Linked DNA regions of Mytilus edulis. The protein of the gene in region 2 purifies or fractionates together with the protein of the main gene of each other region. This does not show direct contact. Links are inferred from orthologs where the notes say so. Each region holds a gene or a part of one and is shown on either strand. Other genes may lie near its edges. The genes, in order: uncharacterized protein and RNA-binding protein 28-like.

Evidence for each region.
Region 1: the proteins of RNA-binding protein 28-like (region 2) and uncharacterized protein purify together in Homo sapiens (affinity purification with mass spectrometry; 3 studies listed by BioGRID and IntAct, with this or other methods). This does not show direct contact. The link is inferred for Mytilus edulis from reciprocal best matches to the Homo sapiens genes RBM28 and REXO4.

Annotation. Positions count from the first base shown.
Region 1 is NC_092344.1:89,229,625-89,241,938, forward strand, and holds the start of uncharacterized protein, read left to right. Parts: upstream 1-5,926; 5' UTR 5,927-6,064; intron 6,065-7,811; 5' UTR 7,812-7,814; coding exon 7,815-8,216; intron 8,217-10,896; coding exon 10,897-10,988; intron 10,989-11,443; coding exon 11,444-11,551; intron 11,552-12,314. Other genes in the region: aminoacylase-1-like, read right to left, coding at 2,760-2,824, 5,742-5,832.
Region 2 is NC_092353.1:13,393,800-13,406,599, reverse strand, and holds the start of RNA-binding protein 28-like, read right to left. Parts: upstream 5,955-12,800; 5' UTR 5,889-5,954; coding exon 5,762-5,888; intron 1-5,761. UniProt on the Homo sapiens protein: Nucleolar component of the spliceosomal ribonucleoprotein complexes.

The DNA.
Region 1 (12,314 bases), on a different chromosome or scaffold from region 2:
TTAATTATTCAGGTAAATTTTGTGAAACATGTCGCTTCTTAATAATTGCTCTGAGCAACACTTTGGTATCTTGTCAATTGTCATTAATTAATCTGAGCAATATTATGGTTTAATTAGGATTATAAATGTAATTAACTTGTATCTCTCTAATTGACATTATTCATATTTCACCTTTGGACATTGTAAACAATATTATTAATACTCAAAATTATCTCAATTATCTCAATTATCAATGTCTGTCATTTTATGAGTAGTTTTCAGCTTTCGCCTTAAATATCGGAGTCGAACAGTATTCGTTAGTGTAGTCTCGTCGGTGTTGTCCAGATAGGAGTGCTTCCAAAGCCAACCAGGCTCAGCTACTCGGGAGAAATGCTAACTCAAAAGACAGCTCAACACAACTGTAACTATTCAAGCCAGACAACATCAACTTGGAATATTACGAACATTTTGGACTTTTAACTTTAACTGAGAATTAGTGAAATTAGTGACTTTATTAATTGGAACATTTGGACTTTATTTATTTGTAAATTGTTTTGGCATCATTATTATTATTTGGACCTGTTACTATATATAAATTTGTTACAACTTGCTGCTTGATTTATAGTTTTGCCTGCCATTGCTTAAGTCTTGCGAAAGACTGACCCCCTGTGCCTTGGGCTGTGCATGTTCGATAGTCCCCCTTAAACTCGACGTGCATTGGCTCTTGGTGACATATATACAAAGAATTAGCAAAATAAATTGTAACTGCAATTTGTGTTTTTTTTTGGAAAATTGATAATTCCTTTAATCTTGAGGGGGAAAACATCCCATTCTACTTATGCTATTGAACCTTTTGTTCAATTTCAGAGTAATCAAAATACTTAAACACAAGTTATTGTCCTTTAACTAGAAAAATGCTTGATTTGAGCCTCTTTTTGGCTCCTAATTCCTAAACAGTTAGGACATCTATCCCACACCAATCCCAACCTTCCTTTTGTGGTATTGAACCTTTTTATTAAAATTCATAGAGATCTATACACTCAAACTAAAGTTTGTCTGGAAACAAAATGATTTTGCAAGACAACAACATCATAGCAATACATGAGTGACTGCAAATTATTTACAGATGTATAATTACATTATTAAAGGTAGAAATAAGATTTGTATAAAAAAACTTAAATATAGTGACTTACAGCAAAGTGTTTTTAGGATTATGTACCCTTGTGTTGCTTCAATGCTAAACCTATGGAAATGTTATAGAAAATCAACAGCCTTTCCCCTTGTACTCTCATATTTGGCAATTCGATACTTGATAGACAGAGGATTATTGCATGCAGTGCTAGCAATGATTTCCTTAAAACAAGTTTATAATTTTAGATATTTGTTTAAATAAATATAAATGTGAACCAATTCAAGTACACCTTCTAGGGTGCGACTTTAGTGACTCAACATGAGATGTTTTGGAATTTAAAGGTTGTTTTAGGACTTTTTGTAAACAATATACGCTAGCTGATCATAGAAAAACAAGTGAGGCCAAATAAAAATATATGTATGGTTCCAGTAACCCTACTGTCCCTACTTTTTCGGCTTAAAAATAGCCTACCCTAAAGATTTTATTGTCATTTTTCATGAATGTTGCTCCCATAGACTCAATGTAAAAAAAAAAAAAACATCAAATAAAAAAAATCCCTTCCTACCTACCCTAACTTTTTATCCGATGTAACTGGAACCACATACTTTTTTATTTGGCCTGAATTAACTTTGTTTCAAATTTTATTACAAAAATCTCTGTATTAAAGTCTGTGGATTTTCTACAAAATTCTTGATTTTATTTTCACCAAATTCCCTTTTTCTATTAAATGCATCTAAACTTTAAATGATTATGCTTTGCACAAAGTTTCCCCTTTGTATATGTACAAAATGGCCCATCTCTATTATTCATTATCCTTGCTGATTTGATACTATTGCAGTTTAAAAAGTTCATAATTCACAGGCCACAGAAGGGGTCATAAACCTTAACATAGAAATATATAAAATTTTACATTTTGTCCACCTCATAACCTTTTATTTTGAAATAATTTTTGAATATACATGTATATACATCTATAATAGATACCTTCCCAAAAGTGAATCTATATATTAGACAAGTAGGCATATTGTCTCACAGGCAGCATAGGTTAGTTTATTTTGTTCATGTTAAACTTTGTGTCATGTTTTAGTCAGATGGTCTCGTAACTATGCCTTAAAAATTACATTGTGTCTGCCTTACAATGTAATGTACAGTTGGTGAACAACTTCATTAATACAAATATCAAAATCCAGAGTAATTTAATATTCAAAGATGATGTCAACATTTACATTGTGTATGACCATGAATTTATTTAAATGAAAGGTGTGACTATTGTCTCTTTTCTATATATTACACTGGTGGTATGACTCTGAATTACCGTAATTAAAAGTGCATGGAATAATTAATTTTTCCAACTTCAGTCATAAAAGCATTTTCCTTGTTATCTCTCCCCATTAATTCTTATCAGTGATGTGTGATAACTTTTATGTTTCAAAACAAATATCTATGGTTGGAAATATTTTGTGTGCATTTATTTATTACAAAAAATATACTTAGCAAAAATTCACAATTTACAGTATTTCACTGACAATGTGATAAAGTATTGTTATCATGGTTATCATTTTTTCATGCCATTATCACAAAAATATCAAAGGATACCAAAGAAATCTGATTGGCAGGCATAAATGATATAAAAAAATAAAAGTAATACCTCAACTGTTTTAAATGGCAGACCAATGTCCTTTGCTTGATCTTTAAGAAACTTGATAGCTCCATCTAAATAAATCAAAATACAAATAAATCTGATCATTAAAGTGATGTCTATAAAATTCTTTTAAGAACAAAAAAAGTAAGAATCATTTGTTAATACAAACCTGTATGGAGAGAGACTGTTCTTAGTTTCAACATTTGATTAAATTAAATTAATATAGCTATCTATCTATGCATTTTGTATTTCAGAAAAAATACACTTGCATGTTGTTTTCTTCAATTAATGTTATTGCAATTGTTAAATTTTATGTACAATATTCTTCGCTGAGTCATACCTGCCAACTGTCACTACTTGCAGGCAATGTCCCGTATGGAGACTCCAAATTGGAAATTTTGAAAGATTAATATTGTCCACAATTTAAAACAAAACAATCAGTTTCACCATGGGTATAGCATTGTAAAAGAATGAAAAAGCAAATAAACAACATTAAAATAAATTTGATGGCCCCTTAAGGTTTTGTAGGACTATTACAGCCATCCTGCATGTAAAACCCCCATGGGCATTTTGAAACACAGGCAGGTATGCTGAGTTTATTATTGACAACTTCTGTAGGAATGGGAAAAGATATTCCAGTTCCGTGATACAGTAGTTAATTATGTCTGTCATATGACTTCATTCACCTTGAGACAAAGTGTAGGCAGTGTCACTTCCAAAACATGTTGAGTGAAAGAATAAAAAATTTTGTTGCTATTCTTCAAGAAATATTTGGGAAATCAAAATCTTATTAGTTGGTCACCCTTCCTTCAGTTGTAGGGTAATTGAGATTACATAAAATGTACATAGATTATTTCTAGACTCTTCTCCTGAATTATGTTCCTACAGATGCATGAAACTTTAATAGTGCAGGGATACATGTTCGCCTTCTCTCAGGTAGTTGATAATCTTTTCCAGTCATACAGATAGACATAATTCGAAAAGTACACTTGACCCAAGTATTTGCAACACTTGGATGTCAATCCACAATCAATTTGCTTGTAGTTAGACACTGCTTTTGTGAGGTAAACACTTTTGGGAACATAGTTGTATTTGTCAATACCTTAAAGGAGGGTTAATTTGTAATGGGGCTACTTCATGACAAATAACAGTAAAAATTCCTGCCAAATGACGTTAATAATAATTTTTGGTGCATGACAATAAAATATACACTTCTTTTCGACGATAAAAAATTGACTGAATTTGATAAATCACAAAAATAACAGTTACAATAATGATTTGAGACATCTGAGAGGGTGATAAAGGGGGGTCCTGAACACGGAAACAAGTGAAATAAAAATCTCAAAAACGTTGCACAGAAAATAAAAATTGGAAAAACGAAGCACGAGAAATAAAATTGTAAATATAAAAGAATTAATACTTGAAGTTATTACTCAGCCGTTCTTGGAGATCAGGCAATCACTATTTTTGAACATGACAACCTCACAGTAACCTTTGAACATCCACAAGTTGCATGTGATTTGAAAAAAAATAATATTTATAGTCATTTGATAGCAATTAATATCCTGGGAACATGTAATTAAAAACAATCTCTGGATTGACTTTGAATTTAGTCCCATTTACTATTTATAATGAAATGCGGGATAAGCATGAGAAATTAAATGTCAAAACACGAAAACACTTGAAACAAAAAGGCCAAAAACATTGAACGAAAATAACTCTTTACCACCCTCATCTGACAAATCATGATGAAGATAAGGAAATTTTGACAAATCAGAGTGAAATTTTAACCAATGTGACGCTAACGGTTGCCCAAAAATAACCTTAAAACGTCTGATGTTAAAGGGCATTCTTAAAGGGATAGTAGCTACGATTTTGAAAAAAATATGAACAAGTTTTAAAGCTGCTAAAATCAAAAGCAATAAGATCGCTAGAATGTTTTCATAAACTACAGAAGTGTTAATAATTGATAATTCATATCGTGTTGTGTGCCTATTCATCTCATTAATTATGCATCGGGTTTACTTCCCGAACTTTGCCGACATAGCGAGTGAGCTAACCAAGATATATATAGATACGAACACGTGCTTTTTGTTTTCTTACATATTTGATAATTACTCTTTATTAAACGTACATATTTGACGCCATTTATCAAATTATGTAAATAAAAAATATAACAAATACCGGCATGTTATTCCAACCCAAGAATCTCCAACAATGGCGATATTATACACTTGTTATTACATTTGTATGACCAAACCATGCTGATAATGTATACACGTGTTTGTGTGTTAAATCGGGGCCTCCATGAAGGATACACCTGAAGAATAATACTAAAGTTTAGGAAGTTGATTTCTAATTTCTTCTAAGCTGGGAGATTACTGCCCGTAAATTTATAAACATATTTTTGACAATTATGAACACGTTGAGATTTTTTTTCATGTGATCTGGAAAATTTAAGAAATGTAAACATTACGCAAACCGTCGGCTACTTCTGTTTGACTTTGCCTGCGTCGCAGGTGTTTTTATTGATTTTAATGACCGATCTCATCGACGTTTTTTATTTTTGATTTACAATAACTTGTCTGCACCTCTTTTTTGTTTCTTTTCTCGCTGAAACTGTAAATTCGCGTACCATTTCCGCGATAACATTCCCCTGTTCGACCATTTTCCCTTCGAGGCACAATGTGGGATTGCGCATTGGGAACTAAAGAGTAAAGGTCATATGAATAAGGGTTGGGCTTAACATCGAATTATTATCTATAGATAATAAATAAATGTAGGTGTTAAACGTTAAAAAGCTTCTAAATGCTCAACTGAACGTAACCAGTAATTGTTTTAATCCTAACTATTTTACTTTTTGTACAAAATCCGGCATATAGATTAAAAAAGTAATTTTAATGAAAATCGTAGCTACTATCCGTTTAACCTCTTAATATTGAACTATTATCTGATTATACATACGCAATATAAATATGACAAACATACCATAATCTGGAGTTGGGTGGACCGATTTGATACGCAAATACTGTCTAAATCTTGTGACAGCTGGATCTTCTTGCTTGTTGCTTTCTGTCATTTTTCTTATTTATATAGTTTTCTTGCAACGATGTTACTGTGATTCTTAGCGTACTTCCTAACCTGGGAAAAACGATTTAGAAAACCGAATGAAAACACCTGTGTGGGTCAAGATTCAGGACGTTAGTTTTCGATGTCGCGAGAGATCTTCCGAATGAAACAAAATGTCTGCGCCCATGAACACAAACGCTTTATAAACTTTATTGGTTTTAACTATTCGATACAGCTTTCAGGTGAGATAATCATAGAAAGGCAACTATATGTAATCCTGCACTGTTTCAAAAGCAAATCGGTTAAACATATAAAGGACATATGCATACAAAATTCATACACACAAATATTCAACAATAATGTCAATATTACAGTGTCAACTGGTCAATGAAACCTTCTACCTGTACATGTAGCTGCAGTAAAATGTTCTACTCTTGACAGTTAATATCTGTTCTCAATAAACATCTAAACAGCCAAATAAAATCTACACCGTTTTAACCACAATGTAAAGATATAAGTACACAAATAGAAGATAAAAGGAATTAAATCATTTATTATTTTAAGTTTGTTTATATTTATAAAAAAAATCAATGTACTGTCTATGCCTATAATGAGGGGCCTGATTGGGGGGGCGGGGGGTCTCATCATAATTCACGAGTTGATTTTTTTGTCAATCACGATTTACATGAAAAAAAATCTGTAGAAAAACAGATCACAATAGCGAAAATGCACCGATCACAAAGAACGAAAATAACCCATCAGGCCCCTCTATAATGGGTCCTCTATTGGAAATAAAAAAAAATATTTCTATCTTTATCGTTTTAAATGAAAATAGAAATAAGATGCCATGCACACATGACAAGGAAAAAGTAGTACTCAGCACTTTATCATCAGTATCACTACATGAGGGTAGTAATGGGGGTACCTTCATGACGTATAACGGTAAAAATTATTGCCAAATGACGTTAACGGTAATTTTTAGTGCATGACGATAAAATGCACACTTTCTTTTAGAAGATAAAAAAATCAGCTGAATTTGACAAATCATGCTATTTTTTTTCCAAAAATAATGGTAACAATAATTATTTGAGACATCTGAGGAATCACGATAAAGATATTTTGACGAATCACGACAAAATTTTAATCAATTTGACGCTAACGATAGCCGAAAATGACCGTTTGCACCTGACAGTAAAGGGCATTACCACCCTCCTATATTGAGGGAGTGCTGAATTTTAAAAAAGAAGATGAAAGCAAATGCATGCAATACAAATCCTTGGTTGGTCAAATTATTTTATAAACATTAAGGTTCATCATAAAAAATAGACAAACTTGGTATAAAAATACAGTTCAAGTGCACTGCTGCTAGGTATTGATTTTTTTTCCCAGATTCTCAGTTTTGTCTTCACTCAGACAATAATTTCATAGGTGAAAACACAACCGATGTTTGTCTATTTGTAATGATGAACCACAATGTTCATAAAATAATTTGACCAATTTAGATAACAGTATAGATTTTGCTGAAAAAATATTTTTGTTACTATCTTTTTGCTGGCTTCATGCCAAGTCACCACAGAAGTTTCACTTGCCACAAGGTCAAGTTCTATTGAATCTGGACTCGCCAAACACGATTCTTACTCGCATTAGGAGAGTGGTAAGCAGAGGTTTCATACACTGCTTCAATTATGTGATTTAATTTTCTCGTTAGTCAAGGGAAACTACCAATCAATTCTTAAACATGATAATGTATGTGTTACACATATATCTAAAAAATTAGGGAGCCCTAGTGGTAGTTTACAATTTCAGATTAAAACTTGGCAATTAAATTTGATATCCTATGGATATGATTTTGAAAAAATGAGAATTATACTAAATCATACAATATTCAATTATTAAACTAAGTTCATCTGGAAAAAAAAAAATCAAATTATCTCCCCTTTTGCTTAAATAATTTGTTATTGATATGACATAAGTTTTGTTACTTTGTAGATCATGAACCAACACAAGAAAAGAAAGTTTCCAGGAACAAGTCATTCTATTCCAGGTCAGAAGAAGACAAAACTAGATTCAATTAAAAATGAAAATTTAAAAGCAAACAAAAAGATACAACATAAAGGATCCACAGTTTCTGTAAAACCACAGAAGGAAGGAAAGACTAATAAAACAGTTACAAGTGTTCAGACTTCAGATAAACAGCCTAGTCGGAAAAAGAAAAAGAAACAATGGCAATCTGTGAAAGAAAAAAGAAAGAGACTTAAGAAAAAATATTTAAATGTTGACAAAAGTACTTTAACTGAAACTGATAAAACTACACAAGCTATTCTTCCTGAAAATAAAGTAAAATTACCACAAACTTCTAGTGAATATTCATCAAATTGGAAAAATCTTATGAAAGTAAGTTTATATCTGTGTGTGGCGTTGCCAAGAAGAACCCTTCTATATGGTGTCTTCAGTGAAATGTTTTTGGTTTATTTATTTTTTCTTTTCATTTTGGGTATTTTTGTGATAATGTCAGATCTATACAGGTCTCTAGATTTGAATTTCTCTAGAATTAGTTTCATTTACATTTTGACATAATTGTCATTAATTGATAAGAGTAATTTTGTCTATAGGTGTTGACCTTTACTTAACATTTGCTTTGTGATATGTTTATCATATATAAATTTATTGGCCGTCTACATGACATTTGCTTTGTGATATTTTTATCATATATAAATTGATTGGCTGGCCCTCTACAATATACAAATAGTAAAAAATATATATTATTGTGTTTATTAATGTTTATTTATAAAATAAGAAAATATCACATTTATGAGATCTAATTTTATTAAAACTATGATGTATAATTTGAAACAGAATGAAAAGCCAGCTAAAAATTTCTAATAAAGGAAGGTTATACAGCAATATCTGTATGAAGAATTTGTAAAGAAATAGACTATTCTATAAATGTAGCTGTATTAATTTTTCCCTTGTTCTACTTACACAACCTGTTTGTTTAGACACTTGCATATTTAATGTTATCGTGTATCACTCTAGTATCTTGGCTCCATGTAAAAGTTCACTTTAGAAATGCACATTACTGTTAACCACAATACAAAGTTTAATATTGAAATCTCTTCATAAGGCCACACCAATTTAATTTCTTGTTTTATGGATTTTTGGGCTCCAAAATTTGGGGCGAGCGAGCGATTTGAAAATTTTAATAAAAAGATATTTAATTTGCAAATTTTTGAGGCGAAGCTCGAAAAGTAAAGGTGAGCGATTATAATTTTTTTTTGTAAACATAAAATAGTAGGTTTTGACAATATTAAAGCTTGATTTATCACTTGTACTTTGACATTTCTTTAATTTCTGAAGTAATTTTTCCCTGTTCTCCAAGAAATAATTAAATCTGGTCTATGTATGTGTGACTGACAATGAGACAGTTCTCCATCCAAGTCATAATCAGTTTGGGGACAACCCCTTAATGTTATAAATATCCCTTTTACATGTTTTATGAGGGATCAATATAAGTTATAATATATTTGTTTGTACAAAAGGGCTCATATTTTCTTAAAGAACTATGTATCTATCTGGTATTAAATGGTCGAAACAAGTCCAAGAATTTTGTAATATTCCTGGACTTTAACCATTATATGTTAACACTTTTACTTTAACAGTTTAATATTATTCAAAATAAGAGGACCCCTCTTTTAGAAAAAGTTGTTTAAAATATGATGTAACTCTTCAGTGGCGGATCCAGAAATTTTCATAAGTGGGGGCCTGCTCGAGTCACGCTTCAGTGAATCCCTATATAAGCAACCAATTTTTTTCCCAATAGGGGGGACCGGGCTCCCTGCCCCCCCTCCCTAAATCCGCCTCTGCTCTTCTCTTTTTGAGTACAAAATTCTAAGTTTTCAAAGGTTTTGTATAGAAGAACTATACAAATCCTTGGTATTTCTATTTTTCTTTTCTACATCAGTAAAATGACCCCTTGTCTGAGGGAGGGTTGTTCTCAACCTGATAATAACAAACACAGGTCAAAGTACGGCCTTTTACACAGGGCTTTGATACAGACCAAACAGCAGGCTATAAAGGATCCCAAAATTATTAGCGTACACAGTTCGAACAGGAAAACCAACGATCTAATTTATATATCAAGTATTTCCAAACGGGAAAATACCAATGAACAACATCAACAAACGATAACTGCTGACCGACAGGCCCCTCAATCAATCAGGACAGGTGCATAAACATGCAGCTGCTATGGATAGTTTTGTTTCGCCAGCATACAATATAATTGCAGTTGAAGGCAAATCCTTCAGAAGTTCTTTGTACTTCTAACAACGAACATTTGTTGATAGGGAATAGGGAAAGTAACCAATTTTTTGTTCTTTACATGCAGGTATTTCCGTAGTTATAAATTTATATCGGAGCACTCCCGCTTTTAGTCCAAATAATTATGACGTCTGGCAAGGCTATTTTAATTTTTTTCTGGGACGCCTCCCTACGACGTCTGGCAAGGCTATTTTATTTTTTTTCTGGGACGCCTTCCTACAACGTATTTTATTTTTTTTCTGGGACGTAGGAAGATGTCCCAGAAAAAAAATAAAATAGCCTTGCCAGACGTCATAATTATTTGGACTATCCCGCTTTGGATAAATAGGTTTCATGCTGAAACAAATATTCTCACAGATATTTACAAAGTGTGGTGGGGTGCTTTTTGCTTTTATGTTTAAAATCGTTATATATACAGGTTAGACTGTGATTTTAAAAACAAATGTTGATATCTTTTTATAATATTTACAAAAAAAATGGTGCGGGAAATGGACATGATTACATTTCCGGATGCGGGAAGCGGGAATAAAAAAAAAAAAAAACAAATCTGTTTTGAAAAAAATAGGTGCGGGCGGGTCCGTTGAACAAGGTATCAAATTGGTGTGGCCTAAGTTATTATTATCATATTTATTAGCCGATTAGCAGACCAAAAAGAAGTAGTAACACAAGATAACCTCACTTAAATTGTTCTCTGCTATGGGTTTCAATATTGTTACACAATGTATAATAATTTGTTCCTGATATTTTCTTATTACAGACATTTAACATTCCACAGACAAAGAAAAAGAAGAAGAAAAAGCATGAGGAAAAACAATTACCTAGTGGACAAACAAAGACAGAGCAGGAAAAGTATAAATAAATTCAGAGTATAATGTTTTCTCACAAAATTTCACTCAAGCATGTAAATTCAATTTTTAAAAGTCTTGATTAATTTCTGAAAATGAATGTATTCATCCATTTTTGTCGAGCCTGTGACTTTTGCCTTGTTTATGATCAAAAGCTAGTATCAAGACAGACATTTTGTAAAAATTTCTATCCTGTTTTTCCTTATTTTACTTAGAAATGGGTTTTTTCCCAGTTAACATTAGATACAGTCTGCGTTTAAAGTTTTTAAAACAATTATTAGACTGGTTTTTTACCAAACTTAGACATAAGCTTCTTACAATCAAATGATATTATATAGAGGAAAATTTGATTTTTTTTCCCACAGTTTTGATGAGCCTGCGACTAACAAAGTTAATTTTTCTTATTTCAATGAAATTATTAATGCTTGAAGATACATTACTATTTAATAATTGTTCCAGGGAACCAGAAATTTGGTTTGATGATGTAGATGACATTCTGCTGGACAGGAAACCAGAATCTTCACTTAAACAGTCAGATAAACTTGTCAAGCAGCAATCATTTACAGGGTAAGGTAGTTATATTATTATAGATTTGGATGATTTATAAAGGAAATCGGTCTGTTAGACCTCAAACATGGTGACAAAAAGGAAGTAGCTTTTGCTAAAATTGTGTCAATCAAAACCTAGCTATCTATTGTTCATAAATCAATAAAGATACCACCATAGTTAGATAGTACATGTATGGACATGATTGTTTTAAAAGAAAAAAAAGTGATTTTCCTCCACTTCATTCTCATCTTAGAACAATAAGCTAATTAAGTCATTGTGTTCTCACTTTGCTCTAGTAACTTAGGATGGAATTGATCAAAGTAAAATTTAAGAAAATAGCATTGAAATGTATTATTGTTATTTCTATAATTGCATGGTATAAGTTATAGGATAGAAATAAGTTGTAATCCCTGGAGTAAGTTTTTACATGGCAAACTATATTATTATTGTTATGAAAGCTGTGGATGCTGCATCTTTCTATCCAGTTGACAGCATTTCAGTTTCTTTTGTGTAAACTGATCTTTGTTTACATTGTGTCATAAAGAGGAGAAAGATTTTGATATTTTATATTGCTTTAATAAGACTTCAGTTTCATGAAACATACATTTGACCAGGAAGATCTCAACTATGAATGGGTGTCAAGTACATTGAAAATGTAAGTGAAATTCTAAATTTTTCAAAGTGCTTTCCTAGGTACCATATTCATGTTTAAGTGAAAAAGACCTCCTGTCAATAGGTTAAATCTCAAGCATCACTGCAGCTATAAACAGACTGACTTTCA
Region 2 (12,800 bases):
AATTGCTGTATTTTGTACTAAATATATGGTAAAGATAAATATCAGATGATTAAACAAAAAAAAACATTTTTGTTTAATAAATGAAGATATTTGATTCAGGGTAAGCAATTCGGCAATGATAACAGGTGTATTTAATAGAAATAACTCAGATGTCAGATTATAGACAAAGGCCACAGATAATTATAAGTGTAATATGCCTAATATTGGAGGAACATTCAGAGAATTTATTTTAAATCCATATAAATAGGAGTGATTGTGAGTTCACAGCATCGGCATGTATATCAGTATATGATGTAAATATGAAGTTATTTTTCATGATAAGTAGGAAATATCATGGAGATAAATTGTTTTAATTAATTCACACATTTCAGACATAAGGAGGTGATTACAATATGACAGAACATAGAATCATATAATGATCATAATGTCTTATTTAAATCAAATCAATGTTTATAATTGCTTGGTTTATTTATCAATTATCTGAGGAAAATGATACACATGATACAAAGTAACATTTCTGGTCGTAATTACTTGATTCAAACAAATATAATAGAATAAATTGGGAAGAAAAATGCCCCTGCTTGCATATAACTTTATAACAGGATATAAGTTCATAACTCAAGAACTGTAAAAGTGATCCTACCCCAGTTTGTCCTTGATCTGAGTTTTGTGGTAACAAGCATTGTGTATACATTTCATAACATTTAGTTGAGGCAATCTTAAGTTAGTGTACAGAAACAAAAAATCAGCATTTTTTTCCATTTGTAAAAGAGCCTCACTCTAGAACAGTAAAAAGACACCACCAAAATTCAAACTTGATCTGCATTTTGTGGTAATTAGCATTGTGTATAGGTAAACTAAAGTTAGAGAATGGAAACAAAATTGTAATTGGGCATAATTCTCTAACTGTAAAAGTGACATCCTCATCACCAAAATTCAAACTTAATCTGTGTTTTGTAGGACACTAATGTTAGCAGCATTGTGTATAAGTTTCATAAAATTTGATTGAGGAAAACTAAAGTTTGGGAACGGAAACCAAAAATTCAGCAATTTTTCTATTTGTACAGGGCATACATGTAAATCTACAAGGGTAAAAAAGATGCCAACAAAATTCCAACTTGATCTGCGTTCAAGATTATATATTTTTAAAATGTTCCTACATCTCATTTAATGAAAATTATATAATATACCATTTACATGTAATTATCAATTATGGACTTTTGGCGAGGTCCATATATAAGGTATTGACTGAGTGAAAGTCCTTAAGGAGGCTCGCGGGTATAAAAAAATCATCAAAAATTAAACATTTGTTTTTTCAATACACATTTTGTTTATTACACTATTAGTTATTACTTTATAATATGGTACAAAAATTACCCAGATAAATCTATTAGGCTTGGCCACAGATGACTTTAAAAATGTTTAAATCATTGAAAAAGCTCCAAATTATCTCCCTTTGGTGCAAAAATGTCATTGTTTAAATTGAAATATCTTTTTTAACTCATCGGTGACCTATATTTTTTATTATTGTTTTCAAACAAGCTGTACATAAACTAAATAATTGTAAAATGTTAGCGATTTCTGTAATTTAGTTCTTTTTTATTTTGATATTACCAATATTTCTCCTATTAGTTCAACAGAAAAAAATGGACATTAACAAAAATGTATGCTTCTTTCGGAGGAAGATTATGAGCTTAAATGAACGGTGACCCCATATTTTTATTTTATATTTCTATTAGGTATAAGATAAAGTTTAATCATAGAAAAAAATTGCAAAATCCTATATTAGAAAAAAAAGTTGATTTAGACCTGTGAGCCCCACATCTGTCAATAGTCATGATAATGTATTAGGAAAATGGCTTTCAATTTTCTTTCTGTGTATTTTTGAATTTAGTATTTTGCAAGAATTTTAACATGGTATTGAAAATATCAATATTCTTTGAACAACTTCATAGCTTGTTGCATAAGGGTTCTTGTATTCTCAGCGTCTGCATTTAATATAAAATTCCTGAAATATCCCGTGATAAACTTGCAAATTTCCTTTTCGTCTGCTGCGGCACTTCCTTCCTAGAATGCTACACCATATGTAATATTAGAATTTATTTTACTTCAAGCTAAAATGCCATAGTTTGTTTGGCTAATATGAGGCTGTTAATTTACTCTACCACATAGCTGAGCGGGTGACAATTTTTGGAATGTCACCCTCTTTTCTAGACCAATAAAAAATCAATAATTTAAAGGACAATGAATTGAATTTACATCAAGTTATCAAAGACAATGCTTAAGTTCTACATTTTGGCTCAGATTTTAATATTTGATTCAAAATAAAAAATAAAACATATTGCTTCACTTCTGTTGATTTTCATAATACCCATGACGTTGTTATACGACCGCAAAAATTGAAAATTTTTTGGTCGTATATTGGTATCACGTTGTGGACGTCGTCCGAAGACATTTCAGTCGGAAAGCAAGCCCTTAGTAACGACCGTTGTTGCTTCTTTCTTAAGACAACAATGGGACTGATATTAAAACCTGCCATTCTGAAATTGTGTTAATTTCGCGGCAAAAAAATTTGGCGCCAATTTGGAAGTTTTTCTTTTTTTCTGTTTCTTACTTGCCATTAGGGTCAGAAATAGAATTCTTTCGATTGTTTAAGATAAAAACGAAACGAATTTAAATGACCCAAGCCGAGATTAAATGAATCATTAGATTTAAAACTCATTAATTACTATAGATAAAAGGATTAGGACAATTATAATAAATTCATGATAATTTAATGTAAAGCAGACGACCTCATCAGAGACGGTTCACAACTTATTTCGTGCCACGCGTGATTTCATAATTTATAGCACATGACCTTTGTAAATATTTGTGTAGACTATTGATTTTATTTGTGCATGATTTGTATCTGTACTTGTGTTTTTAATTATTACGAAGGACCAGAAATGGAGATTGAATGGAAAAGGCACACTGTTCATTGTATCTAGTTTACACAAATCTCATACCGTATTTCATGCATTCAAATTTATGATGACACACTCGACCTCGGATGAGTCGAACCTCGGATGAGTCAAATACTTTGGTCCGGTCCCTTTGACTTCGACACAATGAGGTTTGACTGTATTTATTTGCGGAAACATAAACTTTTTATCCGGAAGCGTCATCTTTTTTTCCAGAAAAGTAATGCCAATTTGCGGAAACGTAAAACGCCAGTTTGAATAATATGAGTTAATAACAATAATCTTTTGATTATTTGTACAAGTATAGTTATTATTTTTAACTGGTTGTTAATTGATTTCACAATTATCCTCTATAATTTTTCGAGTTCATTTAATCTCCCTTTGAACTTCAATATCTATTTTGCTTAAAATTCATTTTTCATTTAAAAAAAAATACACCTTAAAGAATAGTCAACAATACAACAACAATACTGGTACATGTATATCGGTAATGTGCCAGTATTGTTGTTTTAAAAAAAAAAGTTACAATACTGGTACAAATTTTTATACCAGTATTGGACAATACTGGTACATGTATATATCAGTATTGGGATCACCAACTACATGAGATCTAAGAGGACAACTTGATTTAAAGGAGCAAGAAGTTTGATAAATACATATGGTGCAGTCCCGTGTATCCGTGCACTTAAGACTTATGACTTCACTTCATTCAACTGATAAAACCAATAATTGGATTATATTGTGTGAACACATTCATAACATACTTTTATTTCATAAAATCTTCTGTTTGTATGGTTTCATCATCTAGATTTTGTGTAATGTGTGTCCAAAATTACAGAAACCCCTGTTCTTAGAGTTCCTCTAATGTCCGGTGATTTCGTTAATGCCTTCCAAAAATAGCTTAAAAGGAAAGATTTTATACTACGAAATATACCAGAGTTTGAACCAAATACACTGCCAAGAATACAGAGCAAAAATTATTTTAATCTGATATAATTTTGACCTAAATAAAACAAATTTTATCTGATGATGTTATTTTTTAATGGAAATTGGCCAAATATATGGCAAATCACAGGAATATCATTTATTTATTAACTCTTGAACTTATCAATTTTATTCTTTTTTATCCCTTCGGAAGGCTAAAACAATACCAAGAATGATTTTGTGATCTCCTGTAGTTGGTGATCGCAATACTGGTATACCAGTATTGTCCACAATACTGGTATAAAAATTTTGTACCAGTATTGTATTCCAGTATTGTACCAGTATTGTGGGTTTTTTTAAATAAACAATACATATAGGTAATTAATCTATTATTAAAGTTGTCATAACAGTCACATATATATATGCATAATGATATTAACATATGACATGACAATTTCATATAGCATGTATAGAATGATTGTTTGTTTAACTGATGATGCCATTGTTGATACACTGTGATTGTAATCAAAGAAACTTTTAAATCTTCCGATGTTTTTTTCTTTTAAACTGTTAAAAGGGAACCATACTGTCTCAGCATTTTAACAAACTCTTTACTTTCTTCCATGTTTTCTTCCATCTCTCTTTTTCCAAGACTCGTATATTTAAGTGAATTTTATTTTGACATTAATGCTGTTATACCTTCTGTATCATCAGCATTTATTTCGTTTTTTCTTCTTCAGATGGCATTTCTGCAACCCCCACTTCCCATATTGATATTTAGGTATTCAGTCTGCATGTTACTAGATTACATGCTTGTTTAGCATGTTAGATAGCACCTGTACGGCTCTCTTACTGTAGGAGTGCTTGTCTAATACATGTATTAGTACTTGAGTATATATCTGCTACAAATTGTATTGCCCATGGTTCTGAATCAACTGCTTTAACCACCCTTAACATTTATGTAGACAAACTAGTTAATTTGATTATAATCAGGTTTCCCTATTAGCAACTTTTTTATGATTAATGGATATTGATATCTTTTATCGTGTTTATTGAGAAAGATTTATAAGAAAATGAAGACCAGCAAATGCATATGATCTTAGTATACATGTATTAAAATATCTGTAAAAAAAATATACATGGCATACATGTAAATGCTGAATTTACAGTGTCATAGTGTAATAATTTGCTTGAATTTATTAAAATTTATAATAACTCGGATAATAAAATTAAGCTTTTTTTTTTTTTATCTCAATTGAATTAATTAAAAAATATAGAAATATGATAAAATTATTAGCAATTCTTCTTCTTCTTCTTCCAGGTAAGGAACCGGATTCAATATTGAATGTTCATGGTTCCAAGCGAAAACTTTACGCAGTGTCGGGCAACACAGAAAGCTTTCTCTTGGCTATTTACAAATACATTTAAAACGTTCGCAAAAATATACAATTAAAATTATTTATATAATTAAAAATTGTTTGAATAATATGAGTTAATTACAATAATCTTTTGTTTATTTGCACAACCCTTAAAGTATAGTCAACAATACAACTACAATACTGGTATATAAATAATGTACCAGTATTGTTGGTGGGTTTTTTTTAAAAGTTACAATACTGGTACAAAATTTTATTGCCATCACCAACTACAGGAGATCCTGATTTTGTTTAGGTAACTTTGTTGATATGACAAAATCAGCTAATGCATGATATCACGGGCCGCGCAGACACCAGGTACTCCACTGTAACTTAATTATCAGCCAAATAATCTTACACAAACCATATGTCTTCATTGATAAATAAATTATTTAGCTAGGTCTACTCCTCAAAACACTAGATAAAACATCTGTGTATATATACATCTTTTACAATAATTACCTTTGTTTTTCACAACAAAACATTGCTTGAGCGGTCCAATATCACTGAACGTTTTTTCTAAGCTTTCATTGTTCGTACTAAATGGTAAATTTCTAATAAATAATGTTTTGCTTTTTCTCTCGTCCATGCTTTGCAGATGTACTGGTTTTAAACTCTAATTACTGCTAACGCTTATGTAATGCTTATTTCTGACAAGGAACCAGATATATCATACAATAATCTTAGAGTCAAGGTAGGTGACAAAATTCCGAAAAAAAATACGTACAAGCGGGAGATTTTGTTTGTACAACAGTAGTCAATAATGGGTAATATATAGCTATTGTAAAAAAGAATAAGACCCTTTAATGGTAAATAACGTTTCAACCTTTTTAACAAATATATTCTGGCTGAAATAGTTTCACATATATTTTATCAATTTGAATTGACCATGACAGGTTTTTATCAATATGATTTCCGAGAAGTTTTTCAACTGTAACCATTATCTAAAGCGATATTATTTTGTGATAAAACACATAAACATTCATTACAGTTTACCAGTTTTCTGTCTGATCCAACAAGCATACATTTTGATTTCTTGCTATTTATCGTCATATCATTTTCTTTACACCATTTAATAACATTGTTTAAGTCTTTATTCAAACATATATTTAAATTTACAATAGATTTAGATGACAAATGTAAAGTTGTATGATCTTGTATCATCAGCATATAGATCAGATTCTGTATATTTTAAGGTTAATGGTAAGTCATTTATATAAATGAGGAACAATAAAAGTATAGAACCTTGAGGAACTCCAAAAGCTACAGTTTTATATTCTGATTCAGGGGTTCCTAACTTAACTTTTTGCATTCTCTGAGAGAGATACGATGAAAACCAGAGTGGTCATCACATTTGTATAATTTGAGTTTTGATAAAAGTATATATTGTGATTTACCGTATCAAAAGCCTTCTTAAAATCTAAAAAGAGAATAGCTGTAAAATTTCCATTGTCCAATTCTTCTAACCATTTATCAATTATTTTAATGAGTGCTGTATGACTGCTTTTGTATTCATAATTTGTGCAGGGCGGCTTTAGGGGGAGGGCAGCCCCCCCCCCCCCCCCCTTTTGGGAAAAATTTTGGTTGCATATTTAGGGAATCACTGAAGCGTGACTGGAGCGGGCCTAGCTCCTCTTAGGCCAGTCATTGGGTCCCCCACTTATAAAAAAATTCTGGATCCGCCACTGTTGTGTGTGGTTAAGAATAAATATAGTTGTTTAAAGACAGTTTTTTTTTCAAATGACTTGGACACAGTGGGTAAAATTAAAATAGGTCGATAATTTGTTGGGTCTGTTTTATCCCCTCCTTTAAATATGGGAGCAACTTTAGCAGATTTTGATATATTAGGAAATATTCATGTACATAAACTAAGGTTTATTATGTGAGCAAGGGGGCTTGCTACAATAGACCTTGATAGTTTTTAAATTCTTGGTCCAACTCCATCAGTTCCAGTTGATTTAGTTATGTCTAGATTTTTTTGACCTTGTAGAACCTCGTCATTTGTGACAGTATATAATGAGAACTTAGTATCATCAATTATTTTTGAATTGACATACGGTTATTAATTTTCTCAGATTTAAAACTTTTGTGAGGATTTGATATAAGCTGCTCACCTACTGTGCTGAAATGATAATTTAAGCAGATAGCAATATCATTTTTGTTTTAACGTATACGACCGTCATCCGTATACGAGTGTCTGGATTGAATTGAAAAAATAGACAAAAAAAATACACAAAGTGCAGAATAATGAAATTAAAACAATGGATAAAACTAAACAAATCCTTGGTATAAATGACATATATTATTATATGTTTCTGGCCTGAGGGCCTGGTTAGTGTTCCTAACTTCTATATTCTTAATTTTTCAGACCATTTTTCTCGGTTCATTATTCATTTTTACCATTAATTTATATTTTAAAACCCATTGTTTTCTATTCTCTATTATTTTGCCTTATTTTTCTCTCCTCCTTTTTTGGCTCTTCATTCTGCATTTTTTACCACTATTGTCTAGTATAAATCATTTACCACTATCGTCTAGTATAAATCATTTAATTTGGATGTCACACGTCTTTTAAATGATGCTAACGATATCAACAAAGGACGACTGCAACAAACATCTAAAAGTAGATCTTGATAAAATGGTCACAAATTGGACCAAAATTTGGCAATTGATATTCAATCCCTCAAAATGTTATGTCCTTATAATAACCAAAAAGAGACAAACCATCCATATTTCAACTACAACATCAATGGACTCATATCCTCAGTTGAATCAGTTGAATCAAACCCATACTTAGGAGCTGAACTTACCAACACAATGTCATGGAACATTCAAAGTTGTCACTAGGCTTCATTCGAAGAAATATTGGATCCTGTCCAGATGAAGTAAAAAAACAAGCCTATCTTGTCCTTGTTCGACCTCACCGTGCTTGAATACGCAAGCAGCGCATGGGACCCTTACCTACAAAAGCATACACACCAGATTGAGATGGTCCAGCGCCGTGTAGCACGATTTATCAAAAGGATTAGTAACAACACTTTTAGAAGAATTAAACCTGACACCACTAGAAACGAGAAGAAAAATAGCACGTATAACGCTCTTTCATAAAGCCATCCATGAATAGGTTGCTATACCAATTTCATCACACATTTTAAAACTAAGTAGAACTTTGAGAATCCATCAACCGAATACAAAGATCTTTACAAATCAGGCCAAACAAAGATATTTACAGGTACAGTTTTTTTTTCCTCGGATCATCAGATACTGAAATTAACTACCAGAGATTGAGAGCAGTGAGGAATTCAAGACCAAACTTATCAAGCTTCTCTGTATAGTGGCTAACCAACACGAACAAAAAATAGATGATATTTTCAACCAGCACCTGTACATAAATTTTGGGCATGTTTATTAAATGTTGTATACAAATTGTTGTCATGTTGGAAGTCGTCAAACTAAACTTTATACTTGGGTGAATGTAGATGAAATGTTTCCGCTGTCTATCAGCTCGTAGACATAATTTTGTCGCGTGACACTGACGTCAGCAACGCTTTTTCATGATTTACTCCTTCAAAATGGAATTAAGAATTAAATTATAAGGAATGACTGACGGTTAGATTCTTTTAATTGTCTTTTCGAAATAACCTTAAAAAACACTATTTTTTTAATAAACTGCTACGTACTCGACACAGGCACCTGTGGTACTCGAGTTTGACTTATTTAATGTGCACCACATTTTTTTATGTTATTTCGTCATAAACAGAAAATAATTATAGTCATTCCTTAAATATTAATGATACAAGTACACTCCGAGACTTCTACGAAGGTCATCACAATGACAAGACGTTTTGATATTATTCAAATTCAAGATATCATGATTATGAACTTAATAAGATATCTTGTTTTATTTATGATATATCTTATTTAAAAAGTTTATGATACAGAGATATTGTATTTACTTTATAAGATATCTTATATCTGTAATAGTTATCCCATGGTTGTAATATATGTCTCTGTTATAATATATTTTATGATCTTTTTACTATATAGTATATAGACGTTACGCTGAGAATCTGCCGCTAGCTTTTAAAAGATTTGAATGGACAAAATATATAAATAACTGCATGGTTAGATATTTAGTCAGGAGGTTCGTTACCACAAATTAATTGAAACCTAACTAAATTCGTTCATAATCACAAGCTAGGATTAATTGGTTTGAAAGTTTGGCCATAACTGTATACAGTATATACACTTTGATATAAACGGGATAGCACATCCTAATTTTTTTAGACGATGCTGTTAATATAAGTTTATCAATTCGACACTGTAGTAAGAACTTTGAACATTGCCTTTATTGGTTCTTACATTGTTTTCTTTATTAATGAATACAGATTTGAATTATGAGGAGAAGTCACAATATGAGAGTAGACATTATCAAACAAGTTACTTTTTTCAAACGTTATTGGAAATAATTGTCTATATATTATCGTGAGAAAAAAAGTTGAGAAAAAAGCACGTCAAACAGATAATTTGGTTTTCTGCGAATAGATTTCGTAAAATATGAGTCCTTGACATACGCATTGTGAGACTTTTTAACATGATCTAACTTATTTTAGACAGTAGAACAGACAACACCAATCACAAACACATATATATATATATATACACTATATACTAGACAAAAACGAAATGCAACAATGTATTACTCGTTCGTTTCGTTACATGTATGTATGTGTACAGAACAAAGTACTACACAAATTTATTCGTTTTGTACAATGACATCAACGAACTAACAACAGTTACATGTAGCCTTCATCATTATTTACAACATAACAACGAACAATCAAACCTTACTAATAATGTACAAAACAATAACGAACAATAACCGATACTCAGTATATACAAAACAATAACGAACAATAACCGATACTCAGTAGGTACAAAACAATAACGAACAATAACCGATACTCAGTATATACAAAACAACAACATGCACACTTACATTGCTAGCCTGCTTTTCTGACCATGTTTAATTATTATGTCGGGAAAAAAATCACTCATACAAAAAACATACCCCCCTTGAAGTTAAAAGGTTTCTACCTTATGTATCATTGTCATACCCCCCTTGAAGTTAAAAGGTTTCTACCTTATGTATCATTGTCTTCTGTTACCTATTAAACTGATATTATTGTTTTGAGATATTTAACTTTGTATAAGTCTCAGGTTTATATTCCTTTTTTAACTTGTAATATGTGCGTAGTTTGTTTTGCTTTTCACCTGACAAACATGAGAACAAATAATTGACATATCTTTCTTGTAATATCTTTTTCACTGCAGATATGAGTTTTCCTTCTGACATAGTTCCTTTATTATTCCAAACATGGTCAAAACGAATGAATTTTAGAAACTGAAAAATGTGTTTATTAAAGGTACATGGAAAGGTACAATCAACATCTTCAATTGACTTATATGCTAATTTTGAAAAATTCAAAAGAGGGTCTTTATACAAATATAGCCAGTATTTAAGAGACTGCAAAATAACAAATATAGAGATTGGATAACGACCAAGTTCTGTCATACTGGCTATATTAGAAGCATTTTTAGTGGCACCAAGTACAATATCGAATGTGAACGTTTTCAGGTGCAAAATTTAAAAAAGTTTTTTCTAAATCATCATTTGAACCTTGTGTTAATCTTTTGTCCAAGTTAAGAATGTACGAACCCCACAATTCACTTCCACAGAGGACTGGTTTAACACAGGAATCAAAAAGTTTTAAAAGCAAAGGTGTATTATTATGTGTACAAAGAAATTTACGTTTAATCATGAAAATTACTTTAAGTGCTTTCTTACTAAGATCTTCAACTGCAGTACTGAAAGAACCAGATGCTCTCATTACAATACCTAGGTATTTATACTCTTGAACACTTTTGATAAGATTTTGCTCAAAATAAAAATTACAGTCTTTCAATAATTTACCTGATTTGTTGAATACTATTATTTGAGTTTTTTCTATATTCAATAATAATTGCCATTTTTGACAATAAAGTTCCAATGAGGATAAACAATTTTGTAGCCCTTCTTTGGTTTGAGACATTAAAATTATGTCATCTGGATACATTAAACAATTTAATCTTGTATTCCCTATATCTACTGGATCACACTTCTTATCAAGATATCCTGGAAAGTCATCAATAAATAAATTGAAAAGAAGGGGACTCAGTATACACCCTTGTTTAACACCAACATTTGAGAGTATGGAACCAGTCAGTCCAGAATCAGCTAGTTTAACTGAATATTTAACACACGTGTACATATCTTTAATCAAATGGAAAATATTGCCATTATTATATGTACTATACCTACAATCATTCCTTATATTAGATATAGTTGATGAATTGCTTTTATCTTTTGTCTTAAACCCTGACCATCGGTCATGTACATCATGCAACATTTAAAACATCAAAAATAATTGACCTATTGTTTTGAGTATCTGGGGAACAGAGTTTAAATACTTCACCGATCCATACAATCCAATTTCCTGTTTCATACACATTTCTCGGTAGTAATTTGCGATTTCCGTGTGAATCTTTTATAAATTTACATCGTACCAATGTATGCATTTTTTAAGAAAATGATATAGAAACAATTAAACAGACAATACAAATACTGACCTAATTTTTCATCCGACATCTTGGGATGACCGTGAATGCAGTTACGGTCATCAGCTTTACCCCAGTGTACAATGAGGACATGGTTTACTTATATGAAATCTGCCTGAATGATGTTTAGACCATGAAAGAATCCTATATTCCAAATATAGCTACATGTATTCTATTATTCATAATAAATAAGAAACTCACATGATAAATAATCTATAAAAAATTGGATAGCAGCAGGTGATCCCCGAAAATAAGATCAAGGAAACTTCGTAACATAAGGAACCTGTATACTTTTATCTTTTAAAATATAAACTTTTAACAATTGGTTTATGTCTTTGCAGCAAGACAGGCATTCCCGCTATGCATTGAATTCTACGACTGTTAAGTGCCAGACTGAAACCAAGTCCATCATTGAAGTTCATTTGTTTAACCAATCATCAACAAAATCAACTTGTTAAGTCCCATACAAGGAATATTGATGTTATATTTGCATTCAATAAAGAGATTATGAAGATTTTTTTTTTAATTTTTGGTAACCTCAAATGTTCTACCTGCTACAAGCTATATCATTTATCAGATTCGAGTCGGCATATCAAAGTTTGTTTTAAATAATTCAATTGTTCTGAGTTTCACTGGATTTTTCTTCATATTGGTAAAAGGTGTAAGTGTAAAAGTGATGTCTCTTATTGACAAACAAGTGAATCAGCTTCAAAGTACATACAATAACACTACACAAAACTTTGTAAGTTACAAGTCAATACCAGTTTTCTTCTTATTTCCCATGTGCCATTCCAAAAGTATTCTACTTTAAAATTCAGACAGCCAGGTGAAGTATTTCTGGTTA